4 linked regions of the Diceros bicornis minor genome follow. The protein of the gene in region 1 interacts with the protein of each later gene in a pairwise test. Links are inferred from orthologs where the notes say so. Each region holds a gene or a part of one and is shown in the gene's direction. Other genes may lie near its edges. The genes, in order: BEND7, NIF3L1, EIF1AD and EAF2.

The links.
Region 2: the proteins of BEND7 (region 1) and NIF3L1 interact in binary tests that used the Homo sapiens proteins (3 or more experiments, as listed by UniProt). The two-hybrid records come from large-scale screens. The link is inferred for Diceros bicornis minor from reciprocal best matches to the Homo sapiens genes BEND7 and NIF3L1.
Region 3: the proteins of BEND7 (region 1) and EIF1AD interact in binary tests that used the Homo sapiens proteins (3 or more experiments, as listed by UniProt). The two-hybrid records come from large-scale screens. The link is inferred for Diceros bicornis minor from reciprocal best matches to the Homo sapiens genes BEND7 and EIF1AD.
Region 4: the proteins of BEND7 (region 1) and EAF2 interact in binary tests that used the Homo sapiens proteins (3 or more experiments, as listed by UniProt). The two-hybrid records come from large-scale screens. The link is inferred for Diceros bicornis minor from reciprocal best matches to the Homo sapiens genes BEND7 and EAF2.

What each region holds. Positions count from the first base shown.
Region 1 is NC_080775.1:14,274,256-14,282,227, reverse strand, and holds the start of BEND7 (BEN domain-containing protein 7), read left to right. Parts: upstream 1-4,968; 5' UTR 4,969-5,069; coding exon of another isoform or gene 5,070-5,187; coding exon 5,188-5,248; exon of another isoform or gene 5,249-5,263; intron 5,264-7,494; coding exon 7,495-7,578; intron 7,579-7,972. Other genes in the region: PRPF18 (pre-mRNA-splicing factor 18), read right to left, coding at 5,070-5,189.
Region 2 is NC_080749.1:78,809,834-78,817,060, forward strand, and holds the start of NIF3L1 (NIF3-like protein 1), read left to right. Parts: upstream 1-4,218; 5' UTR 4,219-4,439; coding exon 4,440-4,444; intron 4,445-6,092; coding exon 6,093-6,553; intron 6,554-7,227. Other genes in the region: PPIL3 (peptidyl-prolyl cis-trans isomerase-like 3), read right to left, coding at 1,383-1,457, 3,144-3,146. UniProt on the Homo sapiens protein: May function as a transcriptional corepressor through its interaction with COPS2, negatively regulating the expression of genes involved in neuronal differentiation.
Region 3 is NC_080770.1:7,291,123-7,298,851, forward strand, and holds the start of EIF1AD (probable RNA-binding protein EIF1AD), read left to right. Parts: upstream 1-4,719; 5' UTR 4,720-4,961; intron 4,962-5,542; exon of another isoform or gene 5,543-5,561; 5' UTR 5,562-5,698; coding exon 5,699-5,785; intron 5,786-5,930; coding exon 5,931-6,039; intron 6,040-6,150; coding exon 6,151-6,259; intron 6,260-6,424; coding exon 6,425-6,475; intron 6,476-7,305; coding exon 7,306-7,450; 3' UTR 7,451-7,729. Other genes in the region: BANF1 (barrier-to-autointegration factor), read right to left, coding at 3,025-3,171, 3,409-3,531.
Region 4 is NC_080754.1:22,796,246-22,803,296, forward strand, and holds the start of EAF2 (ELL-associated factor 2), read left to right. Parts: upstream 1-4,033; 5' UTR 4,034-4,091; coding exon 4,092-4,200; intron 4,201-7,051. UniProt on the Homo sapiens protein: Acts as a transcriptional transactivator of TCEA1 elongation activity. Acts as a transcriptional transactivator of ELL and ELL2 elongation activities. Potent inducer of apoptosis in prostatic and non-prostatic cell lines.

The sequences.
Region 1 (7,972 bases):
CCAACAACATGAATGAATCTTGTAGACATAATGTTGAGCAAAAGAAGCCTGACACAAAAGAGTACACACTGTATGATTCCATTTACATGAAGTGATATAGTGATAGAGGCAAAACCAAGCTATGGTGATAGAGGCTAGAACTGTGGTTTCCTTGGGGGGCTATCTGCTGGGAGGGACCACAGGGAAGCCTGCTGGTGGGCTGGAAATGCTCTGTATCTTAATCTGGAGGGAGGAGGGTTACATGGATGTCTACACAAGTAAAAGAAATTGAGGTGTAAACTTAAGATTGTGTTCTTTACCGTATAAGTTAGATCTTAAAAAAGAACATTAAAAACTTATTTTAAAGAAACAACAGAAAGGTAGTAAGGTTAATGTATCATATTTAAGATAGTCAGGAAACCAGTGTGCCATTCAAGTTTCACTAAAAAAGGGTCTTAGCAAAACTGATTTTCCTCATTTGCAAAACTGGAATATTAATCCTCACATAGCAGTTAAGAGAATTAGATAATGTATAAATATCCCTGCGATCCTATAAGAGAAGACTCATTTAAATATAAGGCAATATTATTTGTGGAACACTCCAAGATCACATTTTCACTTAAGTAATCTCTTATAAATACCACCTCCTTTGCTTTAAATTACAATTGCTAAAACCCATAAAGTAAATGAAAGTGGAAACTTGAGTTAGGCCAGCAACAAATTGATAAATTGGAGCTAAAGTCGGGCTGCCTATTCTCTCCATGACCCTTCTGACCGGCGATTGTTGTAAAATTGAGAACTTAATATTTATACTTACTAAATCTTCTTGAAGGATTCCAGAATCTACTCAGTGACAGGATTTTCAATTCCAGAAACTCCAATCAAAGATTTATGAACAGCTCCAAGCCCAATAATACCATCCTGCTTATCTCCTTCTTTTTGAGGGTTATTAATAAAACAATTAAAGAATCATCAGGTTGCAGGCATATCTATGTATATAACATGATTCAAACTATATAGTTCCTCTAAATCTGAGCTGTCTGATATGGTAGCCACTAGCCACTTATGGCTATCGAGCACTTGAAACTTGGCTAATCTGAATTGATTTGTCCTCTAAGTGTAAAACACACACCATTTTCAAAACTTCACACACAAAAAAGAATGTAAAATAGCTCATTAATATTTTTATATTGATTACATGTCAAAATGATAATATTTTTAATATAGTACTGGGTTAAATAAGATATATACGACTAAAATGAATTTAACCTGTTTCTTTTTACTTTCTTTAAATGTAGCTAATAAAAACTTTAAATTCCATACATGGCTTGCATTATATTTATATGGGACAGCAGGGCTCTAAACGAAGATGGAAATGTCCATAACGTTATTCTTCTCAGAACAGTTTTCAGAAAGAGAGTTTTAAGAATTAGGGTTATAAACACACAGATAAGGAAAATAGATTAGTGGTTACCAGAGGACAAGGTGGTGGGGGGAGGGTGAAAGGGGTAAAGGGGCACATGTGTATGGTGATGGATAAAAACTGGGCCATTGGTGGTGAACACGATGCAGTCTATACAGAAACTGAAATATAGTGATGTACACCTGAAATTTACACAATGTTGTAAGCCAATATGACTCCAATAAAATAATTTAAAAAAAAAATGCATTAGTGTTAAACATTTTCTGGCCAAATTACCTTTGTCAAAGATTAAAATCTATGTTTAATCTGTATAATCAACTGAATTTTAGAATGGTCATATGACGTTCGGGGTACATGAAGTCACAGAATACTTGACGGGTTTCCCTTGAGTTTTTTTTTTTTTTTTTTTTGCTGAGGAAGGCCGGCTCTGAGCTAACATCTATTGCCGATCCTTCTCCTTTTTTTTTCCCCCCAAAGCCCCAGTAGATAGTTGTATGTCATAGTTGCACATCCTTCTAGTTGCTGTATGTGGGATGCGGCCTCAGCACGGCCGGAGAAGCGGTGCGTCAGTGCGCACCCGGGATCCGAACCCGGGCCACCAGTAGCGGAGCGCTCCCACTTAAGGGCTAAGCCATGGAGCTGGACCCTCCCCTGAGTTTTGATACTATGTAAACCTGCAGTTCTAAAACCTTCAGCGGCTTTCAACTATAGAGGCAGAGAAATGACCTTAGCAGATCTCCCAGAGGACTTTCCAGGACACAACACAAAAGCTGCATTCAATTAACCAAAAACAATACTGCTGTGACTGAATCGTGTCCCCTCAAAACTCAGGTTGATGCCCCAACCCCCAATGTGATGGCCATTAGAGGTGGGGACTTCGGGAGGTACTTAGGGTTAGATGAGGTCATGAGGATGGGGCACTGATGATGGGATTAGTGTCCTCATAAGAAAAGGAATAGACCAGAGCTCTCTTTTTCTCCATCATGTGAGGACACTGTCAGAAGCCAGCCAGGAACTGACCCTGTCAGACCTTTACCTGGCACTTCTAGCCTTCAGAACTAAGAGAAAATAAATTTCTATTGTGTAAACCACCTGGTCTATTGTATTTTGTTATGGCAGTTCAAGCAACTAATACTGATACTTACCACTTAAAGCAATCTCTTTTTTATTAAATATCATAATTAATCTTTACTTAATGCTGATTATGAGAATACACATTTTTGTTATATAAAGGCATGGTGATTTGCACAATGTGGAGAATAAATAAATATTTGTTGATTTTCTCTATGTTAATAGGACAGCCCTGACCTATGCCCTCTGTGGACCAATTCGCTCATAGACCATCTTTGCTGCGCCAGGACAAAGGGTCAAGGAAAATAATTATTATTTAAAAACATTATTACTTTCAAATATTTTCTTCTTAACTATATCAAAAATATTTTCTTCAGTAAATGGAATTCATATTCCCACTTGAACTGAAAATGCTAAGTTGTTAATATCTCCCCTAGGGATCTGCTTCTTGGTATGGCACCTTCAACGATTTCAGCATAGTTTAAGCATAATAAAATCTCATTTTATGCTCCAAGGTATGAACGATGCTAAATGTTCCTCAATTGGTATAGTACTAGCCTTGTGGCTTTTGGAATAACATTTTAAAAGGCATTACAAAATGAAAAAAAGGGTCCCAGCCCCGGGAACAAAATATTAAGCTTTGCTTTTTTAAAAACATTCAAAACATCTTCGGGTTTTTAACTGCTTGGTTTTAAAGAAAGAAAGAGGAAAAATAATGGAAGAAAACCAAACAGGGTAGTGATTTAATCCCTGTTATCACGTTAATCCCTTCTGCCACCTTTTAGAGTGCCAAGGGGTCTAAGAGCACCAAGAAATCTATACAAAATTTTGTTTGTTCTATACGTATTTTACGGGAATAGGGTCCAGAGCTTTGAACATAATCTTTGACCAAAAAGATTTAAGAAACCCTTGTTTAAGGGTCTGCATTAGCGAAATGAATGAACAGTTCTCCCTCCAACCTGGCCAGGTATACCCAGCCTCCTCACTTTCTGCAGCCCACCTAAGACCTCAGGATGCATACCAGGCCCTGCTTCCACTATTTGGTGGTTACCTGGTTCCTTGATTTTGTTTCTGGGTGTGTGTACGTTTATGCTAGTTGCCTCCAACTTCCCTCTTCCTCTGTACCTCCCTGTTAAATAAGAGTGGACCCTGAGTGGCTGTCTCATTTGAGTGACACGCACTGTGTAACATCACATTTATCAACATACCCTTTTCCCTTAATCCTCTCACTCTTTTGGGGCCACCTGAATTTGCCACAGTGCTGGACGGGCTGTCCGTATTTTGGTCTAGAGATGATCAGTCTGGCGGCGGTTGTTTTAAGCAGATCACACTCCTGTACTGCCCTGCCTAGGTGGTGTCAAATTCTCTTCCATTCCACACTCTCAAGATGTTGTGAGAAAGAAATGGTGTGCTCTTAGCTCCCTAGAAAAGAATATTATATAAAACTAATAAAGCCTTCCTGTTTATGCCAATTATTTTGGCATTACTACATCAAGTGGCAGAGTCCCCTGCACCTGCCTTATTTTTTCCGTAAAAGTCAGCAGAGCGATCAAGCACCCTCTGACGTCGCACCCCTCACCCTTTGCACCCTCTCCAAGCCCCACATTCCAAGTTCTCTCCTTGAATATAACTCCGGATCTTCCTACAACCCTCCTCGTGTTTGGGTATAGCAGCTCACTCTTCTGTACTCTTCTCACCAGGAAATTCTAACATCCCTTCGTTTCCTTGCAGAGCGCAGATGGGTAAGCTGTATTTTTTTTCCCCTAAAACTTGCCTAAAACCAGTGAGTCCGGCCCGTCGACACCCCGAATCTTAAGGCAAGGAGTGGGCTGGCCAGGAGAGTCCCCGACACCCAGGACTATTTATAACAAGATCGGCCCCAGGAAGCGGCGGGGAGACGCAGGCGAGCTCAGGGCCGAGAGCCGGGCCCCCCGGGAAGCAGCGCCCCGAGTCCCCGGCCCCCGCGGCGCCAGCGGCAGGACCCCCGCGCCGGGCAGGGCCCGGGGTCCCCAGGGGGCAGGGCGGCCGGCCGGGCCGAGGGCGCTGCGCCGCGGCCTCCGGCTCGTCCTCGGGGCGCCGCGCGGCCAGGCCGGTGGGTGGCGGCGGCCCGGGCCCCCGGGGACGGCGGCGGCCGCGCTCCGCCAGCAGGTGGCCCCGGGGTCCCGGCGGCGCCGCCCCCTCGCGGCGCCCCTCCTCCCGCGGGGGCGGTCAGCGCCCCGACCCGGCTCGCACCCCGCCGCCGCCGCCGCCGCCCTCGGCCCGCCCGCCCGCCCGCCGCGTCCCCGGGGCCGCGCTCGCCGCCGCCGCCGCCGCGTCCGGAGCTGCGCCCAGGGCGCCGGCAGCCCGGCCCGCCGCGCCCTCCCCGCCCCCCACTCGCTCCCCAACGGAAAGTTCGGCTCCGGCTGCGTCTTCAAAGAAGCCGGGCATGAGCGGGGGTCGGGGGGCGCGCTGAGGGCGCGGGAGGCGGCCACCAGGAGGGGGCCGCTTCTCCCGGGAGGGCGCCTCCTGCCGAGCCCCGCGCGCCGCAGCCCCCGAGGGGCTTCGAGGTGGTTTTTCCCTTTCCTCCGCCTCCCCCCTGCGGATTCCAGACACGGACCTTGGTCCTGGCGCTCCCGCTGCCGGGTGACAAGAGCCAGCGCCGCCGCCGCCGCCTCGGCCGCCGCTCGCTCCGGCCGCCCCCGCCGCAGCCCCGGCCGCCCGCTCCTGCCCGCACCATGGAGTTCTCGGAGAGGAAGCGAAGCAGGAAATCGCAGAGCTTCAAACTGGTGAGCCGAGGTAAGCGGCGCCCGGGGCCGGGCCGGCCGGGCGGGGGGCGTGCGGCCGGCGGGGAAGGACTTGGCGCCGCGTAAACATCCCCGCGCCCGGCCGCGCGCCCCCGCCGGGGGTCTGGCTTCCTTCCCGAGGGGGGCTGCGGCCGCACACGCGGGCGGCGGGGAAAGTTGTGCGGGGGGAGAGGCAGGATGTTATTCCGCGTAAACAAGTCGGAGGGCACATCAGGAAATTAGCAAACAATGACACTTGGGGAGCCGAGAGGCTTCTTCGGCATTCCGCTCCTGTAGCTAGGTTGGGGGGTGGGGGAGGTCTGCCTTTCCATCAGGCCGTGCGGACACGAATCCCGACCAATGGTTGTGGGGTTTTATTTTCCCCCAAAGAGAAGGAAAAAAGGTGGTGGTTCTTTTAAGAACGAGAAAGAAGCTCGTTAGGTGTACAAACCTAAATGAGAATTGTTGACATCCAGCATCTTTTCTAGATACGTTAGTTGGGTTGGAAAGCTGTTGTAGAACAGATCACTTATCAGCCAGACAAGTATCATTAAGACAAAAAAAAACCCGCCGGTTACTGACGATTTAACAGGTGTACACCACAGTCTTTGGGGCTTGGGTTTATTTTCTCAGGGGAGGGGCAAGTTGAATAGTCTTGTCCGTGTTCAGTTACTTGTTAGAGTCTTTATTTTCCTGATTTGACTTTTTAAAAAAGGATGAGCACTTAAGAGCAGGCGTAAAAATAATGTCTATCAAAATGCATTGTGTCACCTTAAATTGGAGGGAGGTGACTTTTTTTCATCGTCATGTCACAAGTCTTAATATTGAGGTTAGAACCTGTTTAAATATCTTCTTTGAATCAACTTGAGGTCAAAACCCAACCAGAGAAGCTATCCTCTTTTCCTCTGTTTTATCTAGCATTGGCATCAGAGTAGAGAGCAAAGCGATTGTTTTAACAACCTGGAGAAGTCACATGTAAGCTGATGAAAATTAGAGAGCAATTGCAAGTAATAGAGCTTTTCAAGATAAGCTGGGCTAACGATGATGTAGCTTCAATATGGCTTGCTTTTGGTTAGTCTGAAAATAGTCTGATTGTAGACATTTTGAAGATCCACTCATATCTGTTTCCCCTGATTTCGTTTGGATACTTTTTAATGAAAGAGGCCTGAAATAGTTTTATGTATTCAAAATATTTGGCTCCTCCCTTTATGTACATTTTTTCTAGTAGTGTTGATTATAGTCATTTGTACTTTAAAAGTCTCTCCATATGTGACTAGCCTGTGGGTCTATCTGATTCATTCAGCAATGTAGGCTGCTTTCTTATTTATCACCTCAGGGCACTTACTACTTTATCTTAAAAGTGAGAGTCGTTTTGTAGACCTCATCCTGTGAGGTCCAAGGCCAAAAAAAAGGGAAGAGCTGTTAAGGTTTTCTTACCTAGATGATCCTACTTTTTAGAAATAGACAATTGCCCAAGTACAGTCGCCTCTATAGAGAAGCTTGGGAAATATTGTATTTTAAAGTTTGACTGACATAGCAATTTTTTTCTTTTTCCTTTTTTCTTTTTTTTTTTAAATTATGAGTCTGCTTCTTCTCTCTGCTCTACAGGTGCATTTTTAGAAAATAAATTATTGTATATTAAAGTGCAGTAGCTGACTGCAAAAGATTCACTTGTGGGAAAGATGAGAATCTTGCTTTCTTATCCAAATTAGACTATTTTTGAAATAACAAATCAGTATTTTCATATGTGTTTGCCTGCAAGCTGCTTAAAGGCTGGAATTTTTCTGGGTAAACTGAGAAAACTGAGAGCACTGAGTAACTCTAAAGCATACTATTGATGTACTCATGAAAATGGGCTGTAGAGATAAATTTGGAATCCTCCCCTGGCCTATGATTGGGCAAGATTTTTCTTTTCCTTATAAACAGACTTGTCATTTGAAAGAAAAGAAGCCTAGTAATTGGCATCTTTGGGTCAAATTTACTGTAAAAACTGTGTGACCAAGCAAAGCTGTTTTCTAAAGTTAAAGTAATATCTCAAGTTTGTGTACGTCTTCAGAGTAAGCAAAGTTTTAGGAGTTATTAGTGACTACAAATTCTGTGATTAACCGAAAATTCTTGAAAATTCTATTTATAAATTGAAAGTTGTATTTATAAATTATAGATTATACATACTATATATAATGAGACTCTAGTCTTTATTGCTTATTCATATCTCGCAGGTCATTAGAATTCTAATTTTTGGTTGTTTTCTCATCCTAGATTATCACCATGAGGTATATAAGAGCTCAGAATTCAGCAACGATGTTAATGGGGAGGCCAAAGAGACACAACCCATTTTTTTAGGTAGGTTCTTGTGTCAATTAATTTCTCAGCAAAACAGTGTGGCTATTTGCAATTAGGGGGAAAAAAATGATTGGGCCAGAATGGGAAATGTCTGCCATTGCTAAATGTATGACATTCTTTTCAAGACCTTTTATTTTACAGATTGCCAATATATCCCTTATTAACATTGCTAAAAGTTGTAATTTCAGACATAAATGTTTATTAGTGTCTACACACAGTGCTAATTATCACTCACTCCCAGAGCCAGATGCTGACTGTGCAGTTTTGACGCTCAGCGCTCACCCCATTTACATTGCATATTCGCTGGCATGCTTCACTGGCAATAGTTTGTGTAATTGGGGTATTACATCTTTGACATCTGGATAACAGAAATTCAATTTCCAGGAAGCCGCTA
Region 2 (7,227 bases), on another chromosome or scaffold:
CCCCTGCCTAAAACACTTTAATGGCTTCCGTTTGTTCTTGGAATAAAATACAAAATCCTCAGCAGGCCCAACAAGCTGTTCATGACCTGGGCCACCTCTGCATCTCAGATGATGATAACCTATTCCCTGTTGCTCACTATGGTAACCCCATCAGCCTCCTGAAAAGTCATCCAAAAGAGGCAGGCTTCCCTACCTGGAGGACTTTGTACCTGCTCTCTTCACACCTGCAGTGTTCTTTTTATATCTTTCCATTGGAGATGCCTTCATTACCTTTCACACTAAGTTTAAGTATCACTTGCTTAACTTTGGCCTGCCCTCACCTTCTTTTAAATAATTCCTTTCCCATTATTCTCAATCTTAACACTTTATTTCCTTCAAGACAATATCACCCTCTAGAATTACTTTTTTTCTAGAATGCATTTTTCCCCTGCCTATTTTCCCAGCCAGAATATTAACTCCAAGAAGCCAATGCCGACAGTGTCCAAACTCCACAATGTCTCTTGTTCATCATTGTATTCCCAAACGCTAGCAAGACAGCCTTTTATAAATGAATGCTGAGGGAATGCCTATATATAGCCAACTCTTCTTCCTTCTATCCTTGTCATTTAAACAAGTGAAATGACGTATGGAACAGTTCTCTTACCTAATTTCTAATGATTATTTACGTTTCCTGAGGAAAATGAGCCAAAAGGAAAAGATACCAGGCACTCTATACCTGGAGAAAAATTATTTCTCCTTTTCTTTCTTTTTTTTTTTTGTGAGGAAGATCAGTCCTGAGCTACCATCCGATGCCAATCCTCCTCTTTGTGCTGAGGAAGACTGGCCCTGGGCTAACACCTGTGCCCATCTTCCTCTACTTTATATGGGATGCTGCCACAGCATGGCCTGACAAGCAGTGCATCGGTGCGCGCCCGGGATCTGAACCCAGGTCGCCAGCAGCAGAGCTTGCACACTTAACCACTACACCACAGGGCCAGCCCGCTAACAATGGTTTTATAGAAAAATTTTTTGGGGGGGCCGGCCCCATGGCTCAGTAGTTAAGTTCGGTGCGCTCCGCTTCAGTGGCCCAGGTTCAGTTCCTGGGCGTGGACCTACACCACTCGTTGGTGGCCATGCTGTGGCAGCGACCCACATACAAAATAGAAGAAGACTGGCACAGATGTTAGCTCAGGGCCAATACTCCCCAAGCAAAAAGAGGAAGATTGGCAACAGATGTTAGCTCAGAGTGAATCTTCCTGAGCAAAAAAAAAAAAAAAAAGAAAGAAAGAAAGAAAGAAAAGTTTTTTTTTGGATGTCGTTATTTTCTTAAGTTAGATGATTCAATTTCAAAATGGTTATCCTGTTGCATTAACTCACTTTTTTATGTACATAATGGTACTCACTTCACATGTTTTAGGTGTCCTTTCACAGAAGACTTCTATTTTAATATCACCTACATCTGTATGCAGTGTCACCGACTAAAAAGGAGAGAGGATGTGAGAACAAAAGAAATTTCTTCAGGTGACCTTATGCACTATATGATTTCCCTAACTAGATATTAAAGATGACAAACTGAATAAAAGCAGAGAGGAAGAAATACGGTTTCAGAGATGAACCACCCACATAGCAGCTCTGAGAGACAAGATGTATTTCTTCTTCTTCTTTTTTTATTTTTTTGAGGAAGATCAGCCCTGAGCTACCATCCATGCCAATCCTTTTTTTTTTTTTTTGCTGAGGAAGACTGGCCCTGAGCTAACATCTATTGCCAATCCTCCTCCTTTTTTTTTTTTTTTCCCTTTTTCTCCCCAAAGCCCCAGTAGATAGTTGTACGTCATAGTTGCACATCCTTCTAGAAGCTGTATGTGGGACGCCACCTCAGCATGGCTGGACAAGCGGCGCGTCGGTGCTCGCCTGGATCCGAACCCAGGCCGCCAGTAGTGGAGCGTGTGCAATTAACCGATAAGCCACGGGGCCAGCCCCAGATGTATTTCTTCAAAATTTATATCAGCAATAGAAAAAAACTCCATAAGATAAATATAAATACTAAGGTAAAATGATATCTAGTCTAAAAACTTGGGAGCAAGTATTATGATGGAAATAATTAATTTAAGTTTGAATTTTTCATCAATAAAAATAAAAATTCTTATGTTAGTATTATTGATTAAATGGCAATTCACTTACATCATTAATATTTATTGAAAAATAATAAGGAAATGATTTTTCAAAACAGTTTTCACCATTTCCCTTAATGTAATTTAATTGTGAGAGACAGGGTTAAAAACAATTCCTTTCTCAACTAAAGACAACAGACATAAAAAGTGTCAGTGCTTCTAGATCCTAAATATGCAGAGGTAACCATGGTACTCTTTCTTGCCTGCTTTTTGTTTATCTGTTGTTTTGGTAGCTTACCTATTCTTTTTGTTACCCCATTCCAGACAGGGGGAAAACTATTCTGAGGCTTCCGTTTTCATTTCTTCTTACAGTAGGATCTAGCAGTCAGAGAGTATGGCCAGGCAGAGGACAGGAGAGTGTGTGTGTTGGGGGGCGGTGGGCAGGGCATTATTCTCATTGCTTTTCTTCTACTTCAAGCTCTAGTTGCCCACCTTAGTCCAGAGCAAAAGGATTCAATTAAAATTATCACACCTGGCTACACTCTTCTGCTCTTCCAACTCCCCCTTTCCATCTCTATCTATCTTGCAGTCAGTCTTTTTCCATAAAAGATAAATTCTGTATGGTTTAAGTGAAAATAAAAAATTTAAAAGTAATTTTGCTTATTTCTGTTTTGCTTAGAATCATTTTACACTGTATGCTTCTACAGCTTATCATTTTTCCATCTTGCCATTGAAATTTCCATGCAGTTTTATTTCCCTTGGCTGACCTTCTAAAAATTACTTATACTGAAAGACATTCATAAGAATTCCATAAAACTGGGCCGGCCCAGTGGCTTAGTGGTTGGGTGCGCGTGCTCTGCTGCTGGCGGCCCGGGGTGGGATCCCGGGTGCGCACCGATGCACCGCTTCTCCGGCCATGCTGAGGCCGCGTCCCATATGCAGCAACTAGACGGATGTGCCGCTATGACATACAACTATCTACTGGGGCTTTGGGGAGAAAAAAATAAATAAAAAATCTTTAAAAAAAAAAAAAAAGAATTCCATAAAACTTACCATTTTTCTTCTTGATGGTTTCAGGAAGCACTGTTATGTAATTTTTCAGTCTTATCGAGAGAAGTTCGAAAATGAGTCTCTATTCCCAAAAGAAAAAAAATTAAGTTCACCTTCTCTGAACTCACACATGCTCATCTTGACTGCATATTTAAAAGAAAAAGTCTTGAGAGCACCCCCCAAGTAATAAAAATACGGCTATGCAAGTGATGAGGAGCTCCTACCAGACTCAAGCCCCTCAATCGCCTACTTCTGCTCACTCTCCTTCAGGATCCTCCTGCAATCCCCGACAAGCCAGGGACATCCCCGCCCTGGGGTCTGCGCGCTGGGCGTCCCCGCCGCCCGGAACGCTGCCGCTCGAACACCTCTACGGCTGCCTTCCTCACCGCCAAGCCTGCCCAAGAGTCAGGTCTCCCTGGCCCGACAACTCGATTCAAAACTGCCTCCACCCTAGTTCCTGCCCTGTGTCCTTTTCCCACAGCACTTACACTAATACAACACACGCTCGATTAAGTCTGTCCTTTCAACAACGCCTCCCCGCCCAGAATGCTCACTCAAGCAGCCCAAGAACTCACACACACAGCGCTCAGCACGGGTCTGAATAAGCGAATGAAAGAATGAGCGACGTTACCGCGTACTTACTTAACCACTTCGGTTAGCACAGTTGTTAAAAACTTAAAACGACGCCCGCACGGGTCTGTAGACTCGAAATTAGTTTCTTCGGGTCACCGGAAGTCGAGTACGGGACCCACTAGAGAGAACGCCGCTCACCTGCTCGCCTCCTTCTCCCTCCCCGCTCCTCCTTATCTCAAAACAAAAGGACTAGACCTAGAGAGACAATGTCATTTATCCGCACCTGGAACACTTTCGACAGTGAAAGGGAACTCTTCTAATAATTACATGAGGACAAGAACCGTAACCTGGAACTATTCTGGGCAACCTTCAGAAGCGTCGTGGGCTCAGACGTAAAACGGGAAGAGCACTTCCGGCCGCTTGTCCCTCAGTTTATTCCCACACGCCAGGAGGTTCCGCGCGGGACCGGACGTGACGCACGAGAAGCGCGCCCGGGGCCGGTGAGTCGGGTGATCTTGGTTCCCGCGTGGGTGTCCGAGGCCGTCGAGGCCGGCGCGATTCATGCGGGCTGTGGCTGTCAGAGAGGTGCTGCAGCGGAGACGGGGGCGGAAAACTGGCTCCCCGCGCGGGAGCGCAGGGCACCTGTGGGGCAGCGGCCCTGCCTCGGGCTTACCTGTGCCACCGGGGCTCTTCGTTGTCCTGGAAGAGGCCTGAAGGGGGACTGAAATGAGGTAGATGAGGGGAGAGGGTGCAGTTTGCAGGCTGTAAAAGGGGCCCCACTAATGTTACTTAACGTTAACAGTCAGTGCTGGCTCTAGGCCAGGCATTGTTTCCGGCTGCCCGGATACTCTCGCGACAGCGCCGTGGGCTGGGTACTCTCCATCCTTCAGCGGCGGAAACCGCCGAGGTTAAGTGATGAGTTGCGCAGCTGTGGCCTTGGGAGGCAGTCTGGTTTTGGAGTCGGTGCTCTTACCCACCATGCTATGCCGCCTCCCGTTGTTGTTAATTGTGGCTTCAAGCTGCGCCGCGTCCCAGTTTCCTAATCTGTGAAGTGGTGCGTGTTCTCTTCTTGCTAGGGGCTCTTTCGGGTAGGACAGTAGATAACTCAGATTCTCTAGTGGGCGTGGCGGCCCACTAGAGCCTCACTTTGGCGCTTGCCATATTTAGAAGAGTCTGGAGAGTGGAGTAGTGTCAGGACGGGGAATCTGGAGAGTGGAAGTGGTATAAGGACCATTAGAAGACCTCTCAAGACCCCAGGCTCGAGTGGGTTTGGAGGCTCCACGTCACAAATCATATATTGAATAAGTACATCTCGTATTAACTATTTTGGCTGTAGAACTGTTGGAAAAAATTTGCTTTTGAAATCATTGGGCTATGAGTATTTCATTAAATTTACAATTGGCTGTGCTGTCTTGCTAATTATTGTGCATACTGTGAAATGCTTTTCTTCAAAAACAGAAATCTTCATGGATACTAAATGGGAGAGTGGTGTTGACAGTGCTGTCTTTTGGATTGGATGTAGATGTCTGAAAGGCTTGCAGACCATGTGGGCAAAGTGCCCTACACCGCTGCCTCTCCCACCTCTTGAGCCTGGCCTTCCTGTAACGGTTGGTTCCGGGGCAGCAGCCTTGCTGCCCATTGGTGACATGACCCACCTATGCATCCCGTGACTCTGGCTGCTGATAAAGCACTTAACTTTTGAAAAATATTTTATTGTTTTTTTGGTAAAACATTTTTTAATGGCAATATATACCACCCTAACTCCAAATTCTGCTGAGGTGGGGGAGGGGGAGTGTCAGTCTGTTTAGCAAGCGTTTAGTGCTGGCCTGTGTTGCTGACACTGAGATGTATAAAAGCTAGTTCCTGTTCTCTGGTAGCTTTAGCAGACTGGGGGAGACAGAGGAGCAGAAATATAACATTCTGAGAATACCAGGGCAGAGGGCAGTGAGGTGGGGAGCCACTGAAAAGGAAGGTTTGTCAAGAAAAGCTTTATTTAGGAAGTTGAGGGGGACTTGGAAAGAAGGGTAGTATTTAAAGAAATGGAGAAGAGAGGAGGGTAGTTGAAGCAAGGGTGGGGCTGGGGAGGAGGGAATGAACACTTGTGTGTTATGTACCAGGTTTGTGCTAGGTGACTTACACATATTAATCCATTTGCTCCGCTGATGGCCTGTGAGGTTATGGTGTCTCCCTTTTGTAGATGAGAAAACAAGCTCAGAGAGATTAAATGACTTAGCTAAGATTCCACCTGCTAGTAAGTGGCAGAGCCAGTATTTGAACCCATGTATGTGTGACTACAGCGCTTTTGCCTGTATGCTTTGCTGCCTCAAAGGTCCGGGCCTAAGGTGTACAGGTGTACCACTGTCTGTGTTTTGACTCCAGATACTCAGCTTTACCTGATTCCTGTATGTTGTCATCTTGTGTACGCCTGGTCCCCACGGCAGTTCGGCTGGTCGGTTCCCTGGTCTGCAGTTCTTCCCGTTCCTTCATGGATTTGAAGGCTCTCCTTTCCTCCTTGAATGACTTTGCATCCCTATCATTTGCTGAGAGTTGGGACAATGTTGGATTACTGGTGGAACCAAGCCCACCACACACTGTAAACACACTCCTCCTGACCAATGACTTGACCGAGGAAGTGATGGAGGAGGCGCTGCAGAAGAAGGCAGATCTCATTCTCTCTTACCACCCACCTATCTTCAGACCCCTGAAGCGCGTGACCTGGAAAACCTGGAAGGAGCGCCTGGTGATCCGGGCTCTGGAGAACAGAGTCGGGATTTACTCTCCTCACACAGCCTATGATGCTGCACCCCAGGGAGTCAACACCTGGTTGGCTAAAGGGCTCGGTGAGAAGCCTCTTGTTCTTTCATGTTTAATATTTTTCTTACAGGGCCAGCCCGGTGGCGCAAGCAGTTAAGTGTGCGCGGTCCGCTGTGGCGGCCCGGGGTTCACAGGTTTGGATCCTGGGTGCGCACCAACACACTGCTTGTTAAACCATGCTGTGGCAGCGTCCCATATAAAGTAGAGGAAGATGGCCACAGATGTTAGCTCAGGGCTAATCTTCCTCAAGAAAAAAGGGGAGGATTGGCATCAGATGTTAGCTAGGGCTAGTCCTCCTCACAAAAAAAAAAAAAAAAAAATTTTCCCTACAAATGCTTTAAAATTTTAGAATGTCTTTCCTATAGAGTTTGAACTGCTTTAGGGGTGGGGACCATTATTCTATTTTTATATATTTAAGAATAATGTTGCTGAAATCTGGCGATTAAATTGCATTTGAAAAGTGAGTTTTTTATCCTTAATGAATAAGGAGAGTGTGGGAAATCCTCATTCTGGACTGAGCTTCGTGGGTCCTCACTCATGTGGCGCAGTGCCTAGCACCCAGGCACTCCAGAAATGCTTGTTCAATTGAGTTGAAAGCTCAGACCCCTTCAGAATATGCTTCATAATGTCAGTCAAGTAGACATCAGAGTTTATTGAATGCTTACTTATGCGCAGCACAATGAGGGAATTCAGCATATGT
Region 3 (7,729 bases), on another chromosome or scaffold:
GGGTGAGGCAGGGAAGAGCCCATGTCGAGGAAGCAGAGCAGGCAGCGTGTCCCACAGGATTCTGCTGGGTGGGCCCCAGGGCCAGAGCCACAAGAGGCAAAACTGGGCAGCCAGTGTGGGCAGGAGCCATGGGAAGGGTGTCGTGGAGGAGGAGGAAGTCTCCATTACCTCAGAGGTGCCAGCAACAATCTGGCAGTGTCAGGGCTGAGGTGGGGGGAGGCTGTGGCCCTGGTGAGCCCCTGCCTAAGCACACAAGGCCTGTGTGACAGCATCCCAGCACAGGGTCGAGGCTGAGGGGACTCTGAGGTGATGCTGGATCCATCCAGGAAAACATCCGAAATAGTATGGCCCAAAACTCCCAGGACAGCCTGCATTACTACCTCGGCCTGGGCTTCAGACTGGCACCCTCCCAGGAAGTGGCCAGTAACACAAGCTGGGCTCTGCTCTGGCCACCTGATGCCCTTCCAGGGGGCCGCTCACACCTCGCAGACCCAGCCTTGCACTGAATCCTCATCCCTACTGATAAGCATCAGTTTCCGACAAATCGCATAATTGCTGTATCCCCAGGTCTTTATTTTTGATTTCCCTTTTATCCTTCTACCATTCTGCGATGTAGCTAACAGACAAAAAAGTACACAGAACACGTCTGTTCTCTTTTAACAGACGGAGTCAACGCCTGTGGTACCACCACTCATCACTCCGGCCTCCCCCCAAAAGGTCATCACTGCCACTCTGTTTCTTTACCTTTGACTTTTGCAATAAACATTTCATTTTTCTAGTTTTACCACCTGTGTAGCAATCTCCAAGCAAGAATTCACTTGTTAACTTTACATGAAGGGGATCAGACGATGTGATGGCTTGTTTCATTCGCTTGAGGTTGGGATTCACCGGTTGTCCACAGCTCTCACCTGTTCCTCTTCACTGGTATTGATAGGCTGACATAAGAAGGCCGCTGCGAACGTTCACACGGGTGCTGGTGCAGGTACGTGTCCTCGGTCACAGCCCCCGGAGTGGAACTGCTGCGTCACAGGGTGGGTCTTATCTTCATTTTTACTAGAAAACGCCCGAATGTTTTTTCCCAAGTGTTCATACCAATCTACACTCCCACCACCTGGCTCTCAGTTCCTCTTGCTCTGTTCCCTCATCAGCACAGGGCATTGTCTAAATTTTTGCCAGTCCAGTGAGTGTATAATGGCATCTCATTTGCATTTCTGATTACTAATACAATCCAGCACCTTTTCATAGGCTTATTCACCATATGGGTATCCACTCTGGCTGCCTTGTGGGTCTTCTACCCACTTTCCTATTGTGTTGTCTGCTTTTTCTTGGCTACAGACCTTTGTTATCTTTGGGTGTTGCAAAGCTCCTTCCCCACCCTGGGTTGACAAGTCTCCTCGCTCTCTTTATGGTATCTTTAGACGAGCGAAGTTTCTATTAACGGAGTTGAATTTATCAACTTTTTAGTTTTTGCCGAGGAAGATTGTCCCTGAGCTAACATCTGTGCCCATTTTCCTCCACTTCATGTGGGACACTGCCACAGCACGGCTCGATGAGCGGCGTGTAGGTCCGTGCCCAGGATCTGAACCCGCAAACCCCTGGCCGCTGAGGCAGAGCAAGTGAACTCAACCACTCTTCCACTGGGCCAGCCCCTATCAACTTTTTCTTCTTAATTTTTCCCTACTCTGAGATCATGAAAATTTTCTCATATTAGTCCAATTTTTGTATTTAACATCTGTCATTCTCTCCTCAGCAGACTTAAGCCATCTAAAGAAAATTCTGTAAGAAAATTCTCAACGATGCTCTGCTGAAGGAATGAAAGCCAAGCAGGCCTGGGTGCCCACAGCTAGCATCTCACCTGATCTTTACCACCACCTCATTTCCCAAGTGGGGAAACTGAGGCTCAGAGAGGAAGAGTGACAGGACTAAGGAACACAGGGCTCTCAGGTACATGGGCTTCCAAGTTACTTTCTGAGGGCCAGCCTGGCTACTTCCTAAGCAGTAAGTCCATGGACAAATCACTTAGACTCTCTGAGCCCCTCACTTCCTCACCTGTACAAGAGAAAACACTTTCTTATTGTGGAAGAAAAAATGTTTGCAAAGATCTTAGTTGTGAGCCTAGTTCATACTAAGTGTTCAACAAAGAACAGGATGAAAATGTACCAAATGAAAGTGTAACTCACTTGAGCCCCCAGCTGTGATGCCCATGCTCTTTCTGCCTCCCTACGAGAGCAGGACAACCAGCAAGAGCACTGCCCACTCCTCCAGAGGCCAGGAGAGCACATGAGGATGGGCAGGGGAACTCTTACCCATTCTTAGCTGGTCCACCCTCTTCCTGCCACCTCTCACTCCCACTGACTTTTCCTCCAGGTGCTGCCTAGCCCAGCTGTTGACTCCACTGACATCTGGAACACCACAGCCCATATGGATCCCAGGAAGAATCAACCCACACCCTCTCCCACATCACTAAGGGATTGAGACACTCCGAGGCACCTGCTGGAGGCCCACGTGGCTGGGGCGGCTGCCCTCCAGGCTGGGAAGGAAGCTGCTACTTTCAACCTGCGCTGATAAGGAGGGCAGCACACCTGGTCAGTCTCTGGTGAAAAGGCGACTCCCAGCCCACCTGCTGTTCACACACGAAGCCCAGTCATGAAGGCCACTGACTTTATTGATTTAAAAAACTCTGTAAGGACAGTGACTGTTCTGCCAAAAAACGAGCCAAATGGCATAAAACAGACCACAGGTGAGGGTGGGAGTGAGGATAGGGGCCAGGAATCCACTCAGAAAAGCTGGTAATTGTCAACATGAAACTGGCAGGGGAAGGGGAAGGCAGGTGCATGCAACAGCAAGATTTCCAAAAAAGTTGAAATGGTGAAGGGAGAGAACTCCCCAAAGACTCGAGTACATCGGAGGTGAGACACAACAGCAACCTTTTCCTTTGTAGAGGACGGGAGAGGAGTCCCCACTTGGCTGCAAACTCTGCAGACTCAAGGCTAGGGCTGGGGTTTGGGGGCTCTGTGGGGAGCATCACAAGAAGGCGTCGCACCACTCTCGCAGGCACCCAAAGCAGTCCCGGGACTGCTTGGCGTTGGCGCCGCACGTGTCCTTCAGCCATTCCCGGAAGAGGTCTTCATCTTTCTTTAGCACCAGAAACTGGCCAAGGACCACGTAGGCCTACAAAACAGGCAAAGAGGAAATGCCATTAAGTACTCTGTGGGACTAAGAATAAGACCCTTAGTGTGGCATCAAAGCACAGGAGCCTGGAAGGCAGGGCAGGCTCTGCCTATGTCTTCAGCTTACACACCCCCAACAAGTACACTCACATTCCTCACTCCCAAACTACAAGAAACATTGCAGGCTGTCCCCTACCCGGCCCCCAGCCCTCCCCAGGTGCACGCAACCACCCCACACCTTGTCAAAGCCCCTTTCCTCCAGCTTCTTGCCCAGGACTTCACCAATCCCGGCCAAGCTCCCCACTGGCTTTTCCCCCATGGGTTCTGCCACGAAGTCTCGGTGCTTTTGAGAAGTTGTCATCTTGATCAGGCTGAATCTGGGAATCCCAAGAAAAAGTAGGTTAGGGCTGAAAACCTGGGCACTCCAGAAAGCCCATGAGCAATCTCATTAAGAGGAAGCTGGACCAGCCATGATGGTGGTTTTACTCGAGTCCCCTCATTTCACGGATGAGAAAACTGAAACCAAGGAAATTCTTTTCCCCACTGTTCAAGAGAAATCTCTTCCACTCCCCGTGGGAACTGGGTTTTGGTATTGCTCCAGAGGAAAATCTATCTTGCCCTAACAGGTGGCGCGCGCGGAGCAGTGGGAAGAGTCCCAGGGTGAGTAGCCAGGGGCCGCCCTGAGGCTGTCACTCCCTCTGTGACCTTGGCTGGGCAAAGAAGACACTGGTTGTACCTGGACCGGCTACCTGCTCTGAAAAACAAACGAGTGGTCGGTCTGCCCCACACGCCCCACAGCGCTCACAGGGCGCAGGCGCAAGCCGGAGCGCGCACACCCGCTCCTCCAGCCCCGCGGCCCGCCTGGGCTCCCGCCCCGTCCGCCCGCCGTGCTGGCTCCGCCCCCAGCGCGCCGCCCCGCCCCCTCCGCGCGCCTACGCGCCCACGCGCCGCCCCGCCCTCTCCCTGCATCGCGGCCAAGCTATCTGCGAGGGCGCATCTTCCGTCCCGCCTGGCACATGCGGCCCCTTCCCTCCTCTCTTCCCCGCGCCTCCTCTGGCCTCCAGCCCAGGCCCCGCTCAGCAGCTCGTGCTCACCCGCGGCTCCCGTTCCCGTAACGGCTCCTCCCGCCACCGGCTGCTCCCGCCGCTACCTCAACCCACTAGAACTTTCTTCCACTTCCGCTTCCGGGTCGCCTCAAGAGCCGCCTTAAAAAAAAAAAATCTAAATTGGGCACTTCTAGCCGCCTAGAGCCATAGAGATGAGGCGCTCCGGAGCTCGACGGTGCCTTTAGTAGGCGCTTCTTTCTGGTCGCTTCGCGGGAAGCGGGGGTCCTTTCTATGATCTCGCTTCTGGGACAGCATTTCCGGTCTCGGGGAGCGGAGGCCTCGGAGGAGAAAACTTCATTTCCTCGCTGCCCGGCACCCGGAACTCTAGGACTTAGCCTCGGCCGACCTGGCGGGGGGAAGAGTTAGAGAGACGGACAAGGGCCGGGGGGGGGGGGGGGGTGGCCGAGAGCTTCCGAGAGCGCCGGAAGTACGGTGCTCGGAAGGGACCGACGCAGGCTGACTCGCGTTGTCGTCGTCGGCGTCGGGCTTGTAGGAGTCTGGAGGGATGCGGAGGTGCGGGAGACCTGAGTCCGAGTCGACACCACCGTCGTGACCGCCGGCAAGTCCCTTTTCTGTGCCTTCCTTGGCTCAGCTGCCAAGTGTGTCGTGGAGGAACCGCTCTTAGCCTCCAGCCTGGAGAAACGGGGTCGTTCAGGCAGCACTCGTGGGAGACGAGGGCCAGAGAGTAAGTGTGGGTCTCTCTCTGAGCGTCTTTCCTGCGGGATAGGGAGGGAGGAGGGGTGGGAGGGCAACTAGAGGTGACACTTCGGAGTTTCGTTTGGAAGCCATCGATCTTGGTGGTACCAGTGCTTGTCTTCTCAGTAGCCAAGTCACAAATATCGCAGATGCCGCAGACCAAGCCGGCTCACCCTGACCTTCAGTTAATTCATTCTTAGCTTGGACTATCGCGATGGTCTCCCGCCTGGTCTCTACCTGTAATGTGTTGAGAGATTGAGCATCTGTGTTGTGTGGCTATGCTATGCCTGTAATGTACAAGCGTGCTGAGAACGATGCGATTTATCTCATCCTCCTTCCCGAGCTGTTACCAGAATGATTTATTACTCTAGAACACGTAGGTTTTATGATTATGCTAGTACTTACAATATGAGTTGTTGTATGTGTCGTACACCATGCTAAGGGCTCTCTTGTCATTTTCTCCTAACAGTAATGCTTTGCGTTAGCTATTATTTTTTTTTTGAGGCCTAGGGAAGTTGAACACCTAGGAATAGCCAAGATAGGGTTTGAATCGAAGCAATTGGATTTCAGAGGCGACATTCTTAACCAGGACGCTGTGTCACTCCTCAGTAAAAGGCTCCTCCTCATCTTCAAAACAGTTCTGGGTTCTGAGCCTGCCGTCCAAGAAACTCAGAAGGAGGAGTTGACAGTCTCTGCGTCCCTCACCTGCCTGGGACAGGACCCGGCATGTCTCAGGCCACCAAGAGGAAGCATGTGGTGAAGGAGGTGCTGGGGGAGCACATGGTGCCCTCTGATCAGCAGCAGATCGTGCGGGTGAGTGGCATTGGGCACAGGCTGCTCTGCCCACTACTCCTCCACTCCCATTGGGCCCCTGGGGTGAGAGCAGGGTGCACTGTAGCTCAGAGGGTGTTCAAGCTGGCTGATCAGCCTGACTGGTTCTTGGTCTCTCCTGGACCAGGTACTCAGGACCCCAGGGAACAATCTGCATGAAGTGGAGACAGCCCAGGGGCAGCGCTTCCTGGTAAGCATGCCTTCCAAATACCGCAAGAACATCTGGATCAAGAGAGGTGAGAGAGGCAGCTCTGGGGGGGGCGAGGGGCGGGCAGAACCATTTTCGTTGCCTTTGGCTTTCCCCACTGCCAGCAGGACTGACTGTCTTTTCTCCTCTTGGTGGACAGGGGACTTTCTCATTGTTGACCCTATTGAAGAGGGAGAAAAGGTGAAGGCTGAGATCTCCTTTGTGCTCTGCAAGGACCATGTGCGCTCTCTGCAGAAGGAGGGGCTCTGGTAGGGCAGGCCCCTTGGTCTTTCTGGCTTCTGGGAGGATTGACTTCCTAGCTGTGGAACTGGGGGAGGGAAGATCATGGCATCCCAGGCGGGGACAGCTGGAAACAGCCTTTTGGCTGAAAGATTTCTCTTTCCTTTTTGACTCTGGCTCTTCTCTTGGCACAGGCCTGAGGCCTTCTCTGAAGTGGCTGAGAAACACAACAACAACAGGAACAGGTGAGGAACAAGCCTTGGGATAGGGAGGACAGAAAATAGGGGTTCAGGCCTTGGTGTCTTGAGGGAAAAATAGAGCTTTCCTTTCTCCCTACATAGGGTTCCTGGTGAGAACTCTTAAACGTGTGCTATAATATATGGTTATGAGCATGGCTTGAAAGTCAGAGGCCCTGGGTTAAAATCTTAGCTTTGCCACTTATAACTGAGTGACTTGAAGCAGCTTACTTAATCTCTTAAGCCTCAATTTCATCACCTTTAAAATGGGAGCTTTGGGGCCGGCCCAGTGGCATAGTGGTTAAGTTCACGCGCTCCCCTTCAGCAGCCCCGGGTTCACAGGTTTGGATCCTGGGCGCAGACCTACACACTGCTCATCAAACCATGCTGTGGTGTCCCATATACAAAATAGAGGAAGACTGGCACAGATGTTAGCTCAGGGACGATCTTCCTCAAGCAAAAACAGAAAGATTGGCAACAGATGGTAGCTCAGGGCCGGTCTTCCTCACTGAAAAAAAAAGAGGGTTGGGGGGAGCTTTGTGAGGGTTAAAGGAATCAGTGTTTATGAAATTGCTTAGTATAGTACGTGGTATATAATGTGGGTCCACTGAGAGTCAGTGGTGGTAGAATGGTTGTTATTAAAACCTGTGGGTCTAGCAAACTTTTGAGGGGGGTTGGGAGGTAGTCTTTAGGCTGTTTTTGCTCTGCCTCTCTCTTTGTCTGATTTGCGGAGCCCTGGCTGCTTGGCCATGTGGTCCTCCTTTTTGTGGGCCTCCTTTATTGCAGATCTGGTTTCCCCAGAAGGCATTGGGCTAACTCTTTCTTTTTTCCCCATGTAGACAGACTCAGCCAGAACTCTCAGCTGAGCCGCAGTCATCAGGAGAAGAGTCCAGCTCTGAAGACGATTCCGACCTCTTTGTTAACACCAACCGCAGACAGTATCATGAGAGTGAGGAGGAAAGCGAAGAGGAGGAGGCGGCCTGAGACCCCAGAACCCACTTTTCCTCTTGCTCAGAGACTCTTTGGCTCCTCTGAGCATGGACATTCCCAGGGTGCTCTGCAGGTCTTCCCCACTGGGTGGGGACAAGGCAGAGCCCCTCTCTGAACTGACCTTCTGACCCAGGAGAATTAAACCCCTGGTGGGTGGTGACTTGTGCTGGTGTCCGAGTCCCTTTCTGGAGGGAAGAGGGACTTGTGATGAAGTTGAAACCTGCTCCTTGGTGGAGGCCTCACGAGCAGGTGGGCTGAATGGGCAGGAAATGG
Region 4 (7,051 bases), on another chromosome or scaffold:
CTTGGAAGTCTGCATCTCTTTTCCTCTGGCTTTTGCCCCATGTGCCTTTTCCCTTGCTGATTTTGCTATGTATTCTTTCACTGTAATAAATCACAGCTGTGAATGACTACATATCCTGAGAACTGTGAGCCCTTCTAGCAAATCACTGAAACTGGGGTTGGTCTTGGGGATTTCCAACACGAAACTCAGAAATGTTATGTAATTATAAGATAACCAAAGCTTGCTTATAAACAGCATAGTGAATAAAATCAATTATATTAAAATAAAAAAAAATCCACATCCTGATTCAGTTTGTTTCTAAAACTTTTCTTTATAAAAAGTTTTAATTTAAGGCATTCAAAGCTCAAAATGTCATCATTTAAAAAAAGCATAATCTTTACCTATAATTAATAAAAGCTAACATACATTAAGTGTTTACTATGAACTAAGCACTGTGCTAAGTGCTTCTACATGCATTATCTTATTTAATCCTAACAGGACTATGAGGTAGAGCCTATAATCATCTCCATTTTACAGGTAAGAAAAATAAAGCTCGAAGAAGTTGACAAACTTGTTCTGGTTCCAACTGCATGTGGTAGAGTCAGTAATCAAATTCAGATCAGTCTGACTTCAAAGTCTGTGGTTTTCATTACAATGTTCATTATATTCCCTCCCATGTAAAACAGTAAAAAACACAAAACATATTCCCAAGTGACCTACTTCTAACTCACTTTTTTATCTATTATTCTTCATAACTGGCACCACAGCCCATCCTTTATATTGACGAGTTGGCCTAATACATGCATCCAAAAATCATCCCTTATTAGGTAAAATATAAATCATTAAAAAACAAGTTTTCTGGAAATATTTTAAAGAAAGCCCAGCACAACTCTTGGCACATAGTAGGCATATAACTTTCCAAGAGACTACATAGAGAGTTATCTCATTCTTTCGAATGGCTGCATTCTGCTATGCTTCCTTTGTTAAGAGTGTATCAAAATGTATTTAAACATCCTGTCTACTGGAAGTCATTCACAGTGTACACTATCACAAGCAATGCTGCAATGAATATCAATGTACATGTGTTTAGGCACTCATGCTAGTACTGGTAGAGTGAATTTCCCTTGAAGTTGGATGGCTTGGTCACAGGATATATCTTTAAAATTTTGATTAGATGATACCAAATTTTTCTCTAAAATGGGTGTTCTAATTTATACTTCCACCAACAATGTATGAGGGTGCTCATTTTACTATAAGTTTACTAATACATAATATGTTCTTCTACATTTTTGCTAATCCACTAGATGAAAAATGGTATCATCTTGTTTTAATTTGTATTTCTTTGATTATTAGTAGGTTAGGCACATTTCATGTTCCCTGGCCATTTCTTCTTTCATATATTTTCTATTCATATCTCTTAACAATTTTTCTATCAGCTTGTCTTATTCTTTCACAGAAGCTTTAATCTATTCATACAGGGATATGAACTCTTTATCCTTTATATTGGCTATAAACACTTTCTCCTTGTCTGTCATATAATTTTTTAAGTTTGATTATAGTGGCTTTACCATAGTTTTACAAATTTTTTATAGTCAAGTATAACAATCTTTACCTCTATGGCTTCTGCCTTTGGTGTCATGCTTAGAAAGGTTCTCCCTACCCTAAGTGCTAATATATATTCTCCTAATTTTTTCTAGTGTTTTTATAGTTTTGTTTTACTTACCTTCATTTACTTATATCTTTATTTATATCTTCAATACACATGTAAGTTATTTTTGTGAATGGTGTAAGAAATCTAAATTTTTTCAAGTTAGATGAGGTTACAGATTGGTGAAAAAAGAACAAATGCACATAGCTGTCAGAAATTCCTAAGGTAATTTCTCATGAAGAGATATAATAGAAGCAATCTGAAATGTCACTTGGGCATATTTTTAGAATCTATTTAGTTCATTAATCTATTTGTTTATTTCTGGGCTAGTACAACAGAATTCATTTTAATATATGTTTAGAGAAAATTCATACTAGAAAGTAAGCTTCACAAGGGCAGAATTCATACCATCCTTGGTTGTCTTCTTATCTCTCTGGTTCACTACTACATTCCCAGAGGCTAGACTAGTGCCTGGCCTGTGGTAGGTACTTAATAAATACATGTTGGAAGAATGAATAATTGCACAAACTTTGAGCATTCCAAAACTCAATTTCCTGACCCTCTGCTTTTCTCCTTGTCACAAAATGGAAACCTCAGATTTCTGATTGGAAGCCTTTTTAAGGTAAAATCGACTTGAAACACTGTTCTTGCTCTCTGGCTAACATAATGAAACATCACTGAAATATTGTCATTATCACCACATGTGTGTAGGGCACTATGTTAGATGCAAGCGTCACAAAGATTTTATATAGGACAGATGCCCTGCTCATGTTCTGGTTGGGAAAGAAAAGTATACACACACACATATATACATATATGTAAAATAATTATATAAAAAGCGTTACGTGCCAAATAGATGACACAGACAATAAGAATACAAACCACAGAGTTGGTGGACTGGGCATCCCTGAACGAGTTTTCTTAGCTGTAAAGTAAACAAAATAGCAATTCCTACCTCCTAGAATAATTCAAGATTTAGAAGAGAAGGCAGCCACCACGGATGGTCCTAAAATGTTGCATGAGAGCAGAGTTAAGCCTCAATAATAACCATTTGGAAAGCTTTTACTATATGCCATGAACTGTTTTAAACGCTTTCATGTATTAACTCATTTAACCCTCTCACCAACTCTCAGGTATAAGTACTATTATTTTTCCCCCAGTTTTAATGACGAGCATACTTAACTTTGGTTTGCACAAGTCACACTATACAGTATGAAGCTGAGGTTCAAGTCCAAAAATTCTGGCTCCAGAAGCTGAGCGCTTAACTACCACATGAAACAGAGTACCCCTTAAAAGAGCAGAATTAAGACAAGCAGAGAGGTTGCGGGAGACACATCCATCTACCCGCCTGGAACGATAAACCGACAAATCTGGCTAAGGCAGAAGGTCAGTGAAGGAGTAGAGTCTGATCACATAACTACCCTGAAAGACCGCCACCTGATATGGCAACGATTTGTAAACTTTCTCATGGGCGCTTCTCCTCTAATACAGCACTTCTCTCCTCTTTACCATTGAACTCACGAACTTTTGACAGAGAAAAAAGACAATTAGTTTTCAACTATTAAAGCTATTACCCTGTTGCCAGAGCACGAGCTCGATCCTCTGGGAACCTCGTCTTCCCGGCCTCCACGGATCACCGCCGTTACCGCCGCCGCGGATCACTGTGAAGGAAATAAATAAAAGAAGCAACCCGATGCAATCGACTTGCAACTGATCCTAAACATCTGCAGTTCCTAACTCCGAATCATTTTTTCCTCTCCCTCCCGGTCCCCTGTCCCGGTCCTGACACCACCGGGAACTTCCGCTGGGACAGAAGGTCAGAAAACGATTGCTGAGGTAACGGCGTCGCCTCCAGTCAGGTCCAAGGACCGAGGCTCCGAGGCCGCGGGGTCTTTTACTCGGCATTCTAGACCCAGCTCTGGCGCTACCAGGCCTTGGGCAAGACGCCAGGCCTTGTGCCCAGACTCCGCCCCTCCCCGGGCCTCAGTTTCCACACCAGATCTCCACAGAAAGGGCGTGGAGCACGCCGATTCTCCCGTTAAGAGCCCCTACGTGCCGGGTCAGTTGGCCCAGAAACCTTGGGGTGCCGGCCTGCCGCTATCCCGGGGCCCTCTCCTTCCCCAGCCGCCAACTTCGGACGGTCACCTCATGCTCGCTCGGCGTTCCTCCACCAAAGCACCCCGCTCCCACCACCCACCTCCCTTGCGCGGCTTCCCGGGACGGCGTGCGTCGCAACGCGGGAATGGGCCTGGAGGCGGGACCACGATCCTCGGAGCCAAGGGGCGGGGCGCCACTAGCCAGGCAACCAATCGCACGCGAGAAGCGCCCGGTGGGGCCGCGCGCGTCGGGCGGGGGGCGGAGTCCGTGGTGGCTGGGCGGGCCGCAACAAGTGCAGCTGGTTCAGGCTGAGGTGGCAGATGGTAGCGAGCGGCGCGAGTGGAGGCCAAGTCGGAGCCCGAGCATAATGATGAATGGAACAGGGGGACGCCCGCGCATTGACAGTCGCGAGCGGGTTCTCAAGTTAGGCGAGAGTTTCGAGAAGTATCCGCGCTGCGCCTTCCACACTGTGCGCTGTGAGTGAGGATGACCCCGGGGAAAGAGGGGGAGCTCTGGGTATGGGGGTGTGAAGGCACAGACCTCTCTGAGCTGTGTTCCCACAGACCTCCTTCCTCTGCTGGAGAATGGGGTGCCAGCGCGATCCGCTGCCCTCCGTGAGGTCCTAGAAGGTCAGTGGAAGGAGCCGGAGTCGAGCAGGTGTGGGTAAACCCTGGGCAGAGAGATTCAAGTGAGACCAACAGGCAGAAAAGGAAACTTTGTGGACAGGGTCTGCATGGGTGACTGTGGAGACAGGCGTGACTGGTGGATGATGCAGAGGTGGAAAGGAAAATAATGTGGCAAATGGAAGAGAGCAAAGAACCCAACTATTATGCAGGGGGCAGAGAATGCCTGGGGCTGGTGGGGAAATATTCTCTCCCTTCTTCACTTTTTCTGTCTCTGGCTGATGAGGTTCTTATTTAGTGTGTTCCTGGGGTGAGATTCTGAACCATTCTGATCTGTATCTCTTTTGGACCCCTGATTTCATTCAGTCACTTATCAAATACTGATTATCAAAGTGTTGGAGGGTGTGTCTTTAATTTCTTCATTAAAAAGATACTTAACCTCCCTATGATTTCTTTTGATTTTCTCTTGGTTGTCCTCTGGGACTAGTTTTGATAAATTATTCTTTTTTGTGTTGTTGAGGTGGAAAAGGGAGCTCTTTTGCTTTAATAGTTGGATGGTGTAGATTCCAGGAAGGAAAATGTAGCATATTATGATTTGGCATGTAAAACATTCCTTCTTTGCATAATAGCCCTCATAGAATTATAGAGCGGAAAGGAAACTCTGAGGTCATTGAATCATAACCTCTTATTTTTCTGTGGCAAAATTGTGAAGTAGGTAGTTTTTCACTTCCTTTCCCCAGCCCTGCCATTCCTTTGTGTCTCATCATTCCACCTTTCTCAGTCATTCTGCCCTTAGACTGTCCACAGATCTCTATGGTTTTTATTCGGAAGTGTTCCACGCTTCCATCAAAACACCCAATTAAAACTCACATTCTCCAAAAGTTTACTTAAGTTTTAGATAATCTAATGATAGTAACTCACAGTAAAGGTATGAAGAACCAATAGGTTGAACTTTCCAAGGATATATTTACATTTTATAAAAGGGTTTTATTAAGCAAAATTAATATCCAATTGGTAGAATAAATGAGGGAGGTATTTGCAAACAGAAGATCTTCAACAGTGTCTCTGGTTTATTCTTCTTTATCTAACTCTCATCCAAGGATCCCCACAGTGAGACAGCTAGTGCTGGCTGTGCAGTTTCTCTCCTTCAGTCCCATTTTCCAAAAGTATGATATAGTTCTTATCTGGTTTCTCCATGCCTTTCTCTCAAATAATATCTCCTCTCTCCTTTCCTCTTCTTTCTCAGGTATGCAGTAGTTTTAGTATTAATTTTTCAAGTTACAAACTTTAAGATTATAAAAATTTCTCAGAGGCCGACCCAGTTGCGTAGTGGTTAAGTTCGCGTACCCCACTTCGGCGACCCAGGGTTCGCCAGTTTGGATCCCGGACGTGGACCTACACACTGCTCATCAAGCCATGCTGTGGCAGCGTCCCACATACAAAATAGAGGGAGATTGGCACAGGTGTTAGCTCAGGGGCAATCTTCCCCACCAAAAAAAAAAAAATTTGCTCAAGAATATATTTTCATATAACTCAGGTATATATTCTCTTTTTAAGGGCATGAACCCCAAATTAAGTGAATTAAAAAAAGCCTTTGAAAAACACTTGGCAGGTGCTTCAGAACCTTTCATTTATAAAAGTTCTCAAAATGCTGGAATTGTGTCTTCAGAGTCAGAGAATCAGATGATCCAACTACAAGAATGAAAATAAACAAAAATAAGCAAAACAACAGCAGTAATAACAACCACAATAAACCCAGAGGTTTGAATACACTCTTAGTCCTGTGGAAGACATTAGAAAGGTTTTCAGGCCTTAGTTTTATTCTTATTGTTGAAGCAGGCAGAATATTTCTAAATTTATTTAAATAATACTAGTCATTATCCTTGAGGATAGGTTCATTTCCCATATGATCCTCACTCTTAAGGACTCAGAGTGAGGGATGGAAACGATAGAATAGGAAATCTGACTTTCATACAGAGCAGATGGACCTAATTTATAACAAACACTGAAGTCAATGTAATCTGCAAGGAAGTAAAATTCTATCTTTATGTATAGAGGTAAAGACTGTCCAATATGCTGAGGCTTTGAAAAAACCTGAATGTGAATTCTGGCCTCCACCACCTATATATGTAGTGTAACTTTGGAAACATTCTCTAAGCTCTCAACCTCAGTTTTCTTATATGTAAAATGATAATAATAATATCAACATTTCAAAGTTTTTAAGGATTAAATAACATAGCAGAAACAACCTAGCACAGTATTTGGTGCATGGTAGAGAATAAATAGTAGTTACCATTATTCTTGAAGGGTTATATTCATGTGTATATGAGGAGTGCCAATGAATGTAATTTACTTAGACTTCCAAAAAGCATTTATCAGGGCTTGGCGATAAAACCTGTCAAAAAGATAGCTAGCATGTGGTAGGGAAGACATGGGATGTTCTATAAATGATAAGCTAAATGCTTAGCAACAAATGTTTCACTGGGTAGAAGAGTTTGAGTAACAGGACCCACTAGAATAAATTTTCGATTTGGGCTAGTGCTAGTTTTACAATTTATATGCAGATAAAGGAATAAATGTTGAAATTCTTAAGTTTGTAAATGACACCACTTTTTGCTGTCATGAAATGATGAACTCATGGGCAGTGAGTACAGGAAGGCTGTCTGAGGTGTCAAGTGGAGCCACTCCCCAAAAGGTGGTTGTT